Oryzias latipes: one gene and its partner. The protein of the gene in region 2 interacts with the protein of the main gene of each other region in a biochemical or structural test. Links are inferred from orthologs where the notes say so. Each region holds a gene or a part of one and is shown on either strand. Other genes may lie near its edges.

Region 1 (4,327 bases), on a different chromosome or scaffold from region 2:
TTGACTCAGAACGGACCAATCGTAGAATTGGATTCTGGTTAAACGTAAACATCTGTGATGCGTTCACAATAATCGGAAAACTGAGAATTATTAGTTTTTCGGGGTTCCTGTGTTTAAGATCAGACGCACAAACAATAGACAATGAACAAAGACGTTAACTCTTTCTACAGCAGTGAGAATTGAATTACCTGTGCATTATTTCGATTTAATGAAAGCTTCATCACAGCATGACAGTTCTGAAGACCCATTCCAATGAAAAAAAAAGTAAATTTAAATTGCATTTCTGAGTATTTCTATTCAAATCGTTGTGAATCATGTGCAGACAAAAAATGGAAAAAACTGGTAGCAGTGACTCAGGTGCCACAATTGGTAAACAAGACGCTTCCTGCTCTACTTCATTCCGATGCATCCACTTGCAGATAAAAAGGATCCATTTAATCTACATCTTCATTTTCCACGATCAAGCGGGCATCTGACTCAAAACTGTACGGGTGGATAGATCCAATATTGCACACCATTTTTGTTAATGTTATGTAGGGTTGTAAGGGGCTGTAAACTAGTGGGAGCGAGTGTAAACAAAAGGATGATGGGAAATGAGGGAAGGCTTACTGCACGCCAGTAGTCCGGCCCAAATTTCTGATGAACTCCTAACGCTCTGCAGAATCTGTCCTGGATAACAACACATTTTTTTTTAATTTAGGCTTAAAAACGTCATAATCATAATTAAAGGACCATTGGAAACACTTTAAAAATAAGTCAAAAAATGATCAGAGTCGCATTTTAATTATGTGCTCAATTTCCAAACAATTAAATGTGGAGCTGCTTACACTACTAAAATATATCAGATTGTGGTTAAAATTTAATAAAATGATTGTATTTCTCAGAATTTGAAAAATGTATTGCATTTCTGAGTGAAGAGTGACTGCAAAACACTATTTAGTCCTACAGTTAAATGGTATGAAATTTGGTTGATTTCTTTGTATTTTCTAAAACAAAAAAGCAGTTAAATAAATAAACTTAAAAGGGATAAAGTGCTCAAAAAAGGAGTGGTTAAAAAATAAATCTCACAAATGTCTTACCCCAAATCTTACTATATTGAATGCATGCATTAACACATTAAACCTATACTCATTATTCATATCCCCACAAAAGAATTAAAGAAAAACGGTACCAAAACAACGTCACAGAGTTATGACTGTCTGGACATTGTTCCATTGGGATCCTCATTTTTGTCTTGTAAACTTTTCCAAAATTTTCAGTTTGTATTTTATTTTAAAACCTGTAAACTTTATAGTAATAATGATAAAAATAATAATAATAATGTACTAAATTGGCTAATAAAAAAGCAGCATGACTTTAAGTTCTTTGTCGGGTGTGTCAGAGTTTCTCCTGCGCAATGGAATTATTGATTCACAGCTTTTACATGGGTTCCTTCCAATTTGAGAGTTGTGACGTCACTTTCCCCAGAGTCCTGGTGAATGGTTGGCCACGCCTCTGTGCGCGAGGATCCAGCCAGTCAACGTCGATTGGTGGAGTCAGATTGAAGCCGCAGAAAAGGGAAACTACAGCAGCGGAGGAGCAGCTAGAAACAGCCCCGCACAACCTTTATAACTGAACGTTTCCTTAAGAAGAAAAATGGCGTACCACAGTCCTTACCGAGCCCCCCCGCACATTAACGCTCCTCCGGACCAGAGCTTCCTGTGGAATATCTTCCAGAGGTGAGTCAGTGGGGAGAAGGCGGCTTGTTTCGCCTGAAAACTGCTGCCGTTCGTTCGTAGCGGGAGGAAGAAGATAGAGGGGCTGGGTCGGGTGGTGACACTAAATATTTCATTGGCAGCTGTCCCCCCCCCCCCCCCCCACACACACACACACACACATTTTCTTTGCGTTAATGTTGTCGTTGAAGGCGAAGCTCCGCAGTGAATGAAGTGTTTGAGGGCTAGCTCTTAGCCAAACCTCTACTCTACAGATAAAACAACGCGTACCAGAGCCACTCCGGCTGTCACACTTTGGGCTCATTCACTTCTAACCGTGTACTTCTGCAGGCGCGAGGCCGTAGCAGTTAGTTTAAAAACCTAACTTCAAAGACCTCCACAAGTCCTTGAAGTACACTGCTGACATCATTACACACTTGTGTTCAGAGTTGGCTCATTCATGCTAATTAAACGTTGTGCACACCTGTGTACGGTTACATCCCAGTGATACAAGGAGAAATGAGGAAACAGGACATTTAAAGCCATGTGCCAGCTGCCATAGTAGGTACAGAGGGAGAAATGTTGAAATACTTGTACTGCTGGTGCTAATAAGCTATAGTGTTATGTAATACTGCAGAGGATTTGTTTCTTTTAGTGTTGGAATGCTGCGGGCATCTTGAGGCTTGAGCCAGACCCCTCACCAAAGACTTCTGTGTGGTGCATGACCTGAGGGAAGGCGGGCTGCATGTACTCATGTTGTCCCCTGTGTCTTCCTTCACTCGCATCCGCTGTCACGGAAGCGAGCAGAAGCATCTTATGATTCTCATGACTTAATAGAGTCAGCATCGGAGCAAAGGTCACTTCCAGCAAGCCCGACTGTCATGAAGAGCGTCACACACGAGCTGCCTCGCCTGGTTCCCCCTTTGGCTGAACGCGTGGCAGAGAATCCCGTTTGTCATGTGACCGCAGTCAGCAGAGCAGCAATGAAACATGAGGCCTCTCAGTGGGGGGGTTTCAGACACACTCCCTACAGATTTTCACTGTAGCCAGATTGGCATATGGCTGCTGTGGGAAATCAGTTCACTCACTTGCTACTATTTTGAATCCAGAAGTCTCCACAGGAGAAAGGTATGGGGAGTTTTTGAAGTGTAGTTAGGGTACCATATTTTTCAGACTATAAGTTGCTCCAGAGTATAAGTCACAGCAGCCAAAAGAAAGTATAATAAATTAGAAAAAAATCATATATAAGCATTGACTGTATAAGAGAACTGGACTGAGTGACCCCTCCTCCCTTGCATTCTAAATAGGATGTACATGTTGGTCCTAAAATCCTATACAGTTCTATAGAGAAAAAAACAACAATTACTCAGTCATTATATTTGTCAGAATAACCATTCTTGTTCTACCTTTTTTTTTAACATGTTATTGCTAATTCAAATTTATTTTCCATGATATTTTTTCTGTAGCGCAAATGATCCAAGTTGCCCAATCAGATGCCTCAATAAAAGTAGATGGCGTCACGTCGAATGTTCGAAGCATTTGATGTCATATTCTCTCGATCTCGCTTACAGTGGAAGGGGTGTGGCCTTCCAACAGTCTTATTCCTGATTGGAGAGTGTGGTTACTATAGAAATGTAGACTCAGAAAGACTTGGACCAATCACTACTTAAGCCCGCTTAAGTAATTTCCTATAGTTCGCGTCACAATCGCTCAGTCCAGTTCTCATATGCAGTCAATGTATGTAAGTCGCACTGAAGTATATGAAGGAGAAATTAAGAAATTGTGGTTTGTGCCCAGTCGGATTTATATGACACTGTCTTGCTGTAAAAAAGAAAAAAAAACCTGGAACAAGATTTGTGAAATTTGCTACGCTTCAACATTTTAGAAACGGTAGAAAAAGAAGAGGACACCCCCCCCCTCCACCATGGACATGCATTTAAGAACGCTTGTCAAATGCTGTAGTGTGCGTATCTTAAGATTAAGCGGCGCTGCTTATTCTGAGTTTTTGTCAGTAGTAATTACAGATACACCTACAAACAGACCCCGTAGTGGTTGCTGCTATTTATTTTTTGAAAAAATCACATAAGTCGCACCTGCGTATATGTCTTAACCCTGACCAAACTATGCAAACAAAAAAACACGACTCATACTATGAATAGTATGGTAAATGAGAGCTGTTGACCATTAACCTTGCTTCTTAATGTTTTTGTTCCATGACATAATGCTGAATGAGTCACTATTTCTTTCTTTTGTCTGTTTTCTTCACTGTCACAGTGACATTATAAATGTTGGCTCCCAGCCCTGTTACTAAATCACACATTAACACTTTTTTATATTTAATCTTAATTTATTCCAGTTGTGTTGTTTTTTTTTTAGCCACAGCGAAGGTCTGGCTTTTGGATTTTCTACGTGGAAAATGGAGCGAGCCGTGTTCCCCAAGCTCCAGTTTCTCTGTAGGAAAAAGTGGAACATGGGAAAATCTGAATCAGGTTTTGATATTGTCCTGCTGCACTACATGGATGTTTGGTCATTTAACAACATGAAGATGGAAACACCAGATGGTTTTTGCCCTGCAGCAAAGAGGAATGTTAATGATAGTTTTCTTTTACTTTTGAGAGGACTTGGCCTGAGGC
Region 2 (3,563 bases):
AATCTCTCTAAATAAATTCAACAACAGAGCTTTTCCCTGCTAAAGGCACAACCACATGTACTAACACGCATGCGAGTGCAAACCTAAGGGAAGGGATTACAAGACCCACTGAATCCAACAGCAGCATTACTTTGATTGTAGGATTGCACAAGACTTTGTCGTTTTCCTCAGAAGAAAACGCAACGGTTGTGATCCAAACTTTGGATTATGGTCATTTTAGGCTCTAGAGACAGTGCTAGCAGAGGGATGAAAAGGGATTTTTGGATAAAATTCTGATCAACAATATGAACCATTTTGAGTTTAATGACAGCACTAAAAGAAGTAGCTTTTGATTTTCACATATTAAATGATTTTTTTTATATAATTGAGACTTCTTTTGGAAGCTGAAGAAAACACAAGTTAAACAAATGTGCCAAGGGAGAAGGACCGCCTGGCGTAAAGCAGGCCTGTCACGATTTCACGATTTTTGAGCGAGTTCACAAGCATTGTGTAAAGATAACAACTAAGATCAACGGGTCACTGACTTTGAGGTAGCTTTTCACCAATTTTTCTGAAAACGATGTTAGTTGTGGTGGACATTTAGGATCTGCAATGTTTCCCCTAAGTTTTTTTCATTATAAAGTATTTATTCAGATATTACTATCCTACTTGCTGCTGATTACCTGGATCTGGTGCATTTTGCTAAAATAAAGTTGCAGGGGCAGAATAAATGAAAAACCACATTGGACAGCAGCCCTAAAAGACTAGAGTTTGTGTTTTAAGACGCTCTTCAACGAAAATTGTGTTTTTGTTGTTTTTAACATGTTCTTGTGGCATTTTTCTGATGTTGGAGCACATAGACAAAGAAAATTAAGCTTGAAATTGCATTTCTGAGTTTTTCTTTATATTGCTCACGTTTCTGTTGCACCACTGATGTTAAGTTGGGAGTTAGTGGGGAAGGGGAATAGTGTGGGGTTCCTGCGCTCCCACAGTCCCGCCAGCATCTCACAGGTGAATTTCTGATTAACTTCTGCAGAAACTATATTCTAGAAAACGACACGGACTGTTAGATTTGGGGTAAAAACGACATCATCATAATTAAAAGACCTCTAGGAAACCTTCTGGGTCTTTAAAGAAGCCAATTAAACAGTCAAATCAGAAAAAAAGAATATGTTTAAATAGATTAAATAGCCTTAAAACTGCATATGACATATTTAATAATAATGTTTCAAATTTACATTATAGGGGATCATTTTTGTAAATAATTTTCGAAAAAGTTCTCCTGGAAGCTATTTCTTTTTTTTAAACTTTTTTTTATTTTTTTTACTTATTAAACTTTTTTTTTTTAGGGCAGAACGATGCCAAACTTTATTGCAACACATCAAGCTATTCTGCCTGTAGTCCACTAAAGTTAGATGTTTCTGGTCAACAGTTGTGGTGCTATTGTCATATTTAAAATGGACTATTTCCTGACTTTTGTACTATTGTCAGCCTTTCAGTAACTTAAGAAAGAATAAAGGGATTTCTATGTACACTTTGAAAAACATAATCGGCATAAACAAATGGTGGGTCTTTACGTTTTGAACATAAAAGAAAAACCTCAGATCACAGCAAATTATGTGCGACTGTTTTTGAATCAGCAGTCTAGTTTCTAAAACAACAGAAATGACAGGACGAACAATTTGACACAAATGACGCTCTATAAATCATCGGGTGATAATAAGCAGTGTTTTCACAAAGCAATGCATGGGGTTTGGAAAACAGGAATTTTCTGAGTACAAAGGCAAACTTAAATCAGGTTCACTTCTCTACAATTTCACTGTCAGACCAGTTAAAAAACGGAGGGGGGGGGGGTGACCTCCATGAGTTTACTGCAGGTTTGTGCTCGCTTTACTCTTGTCTTATTTAGGTGTTGACAGACAATAGAAAACTGTGAAAGACGAGCTAAATTCACGCCAAGCTAAGCCAGTCCTGAGGAAACGTAATTACAATAATGACTTCTTCAGTGGTGCAGACGATTGAGGTGAAATGGGCCGTTTGTGGCACTCTTTCGCCGAAATGTTTCGGAACATCTAAGAGTAAAAAAGTAAATAGTAAATTTAAAAAGACGGCACAAGGCTGCAGACATTTGCTTTCCTTACCTGGATTTCGTCACATTTTATGAGCTTTTCAACTTCTGTCTGACTCAGCAGCATAAACTCCTCGTGTTGAACCACCTCAGAGAAATGCTTCTGTGAGAAGAGCTCAGCCGCCTGCATCAGGTCGAGGCAGTTGTGGGTTTCAGCAAAATCTCGAATACCCAGACAGTTGGAGGGATCCAGCTGGCTCTCCAGAAAGTCACAACAGGCCCTTTTCACTCCTGAGGGAAGAAAAAGAGCCAAGCACAGTTGACAAATTCACTTTAAGTATCATTTCAAGGAAAACAAACACAACAAAACAGGATTTACACTGTTTATTTCGCATGTCTGACAATTTGTGAAAAGACAATAAGACTAAATAACTTTAACAGACTCCTAATGACTTTATATTAGAAGACAAAGACAACTAACTACACCTTTTAAAAGCAAAATAAAGAATCTTAAATGTGACTTTTGCGCACAATCAGACGTTGCAGACAACCAAAAAAGTAATGGTGATGCAGACTCCACAGGTATGAAAGCCTGCTCACATATGATGCATTTTTAGTTACTTTGGTCAGTCAGGACATTTAAAAACAAGACAAAAAACAGAGAAACAATGTTTCTTTGGTCAGTACAGTGTTCCTTGCTATATTGTTCATCTTTGTGTCTCTGCTTGGCAGAATGTTTTGGTGCATGTTTGAGTGTCTTTTTATGTATTCATTTTTTTAAAGAGCAAATTGTGTCCTGCTTTCTTCACATAAATCTTCAATGGCAATCAGATAATTTTATAATCCTGGACTAATTTTTCTATAAAGATCTGAATTTTGAGAGTTTAAACAAGAGACACAATTGTGAAAATGTTCACGTTGTCTGAGAAAAGTGAAGAAAGTGTGTAGTGACAATCTATAACGATTGTAAGAAAAAGACTAATGTTGTCGATTGTGGGCTATTATTACAATGCAAGTCTTGTGATAAACGAGGGAACATTGTACTGATGTTTAATTAAATTCATGTTAATGTCAATTGATTAAAACGTAAAAATCCAAAATTAAAATGTGAGCTTCAGGAAAATAGAATTTCAAGATGTAAAAGCTGCTTTTTCTTTTTCTTTTTTTTTTAACAGCGGCTACTTTCTGCTCCATAGACACAACAAAGTTATAGAAGGGTATAAACTATATGTGGAGCTGCAAAAGTTTCAAAAACATTCAAATGTTCCTTAAAATGACAGAACTATAGGTACAAATGTGTTCTTTGGTAAGGCTAGACCTTGCAATTGTTCTTCTGGGTTCCTGCAAATCATTTTTCTTTTTCTTTTTCACTGGGATTTCATTTTTAGTCGCTTGTTTTTGGCATTTAACTAACATTTAAACTTCTAAAGACTATAAAAGATGTTTGTTTTTTCAATAAATAACAAAAAAATAATCTTGTCACTTGAAATTATGAGATTTACTTGTGAATGTTTCA

What was found. The genes of interacting proteins can lie anywhere in the genome.
Region 1: the proteins of klhl12 (region 2) and pdcd6 form a complex in vitro, tested with the Homo sapiens proteins (2 studies listed by BioGRID). The link is inferred for Oryzias latipes from reciprocal best matches to the Homo sapiens genes KLHL12 and PDCD6.

What each region holds. Positions count from the first base shown.
Region 1 is NC_019878.2:12,576,407-12,580,733, forward strand, and holds the start of pdcd6 (programmed cell death protein 6), read left to right. Parts: upstream 1-1,489; 5' UTR 1,490-1,635; coding exon 1,636-1,718; intron 1,719-4,327. UniProt on the Homo sapiens protein: Calcium sensor that plays a key role in processes such as endoplasmic reticulum (ER)-Golgi vesicular transport, endosomal biogenesis or membrane repair.
Region 2 is NC_019865.2:21,836,326-21,839,888, forward strand, and holds part of klhl12 (kelch-like protein 12), read right to left. Parts: intron 2,339-3,563; coding exon 2,121-2,338; intron 1-2,120. UniProt on the Homo sapiens protein: Substrate-specific adapter of a BCR (BTB-CUL3-RBX1) E3 ubiquitin ligase complex that acts as a negative regulator of Wnt signaling pathway and ER-Golgi transport.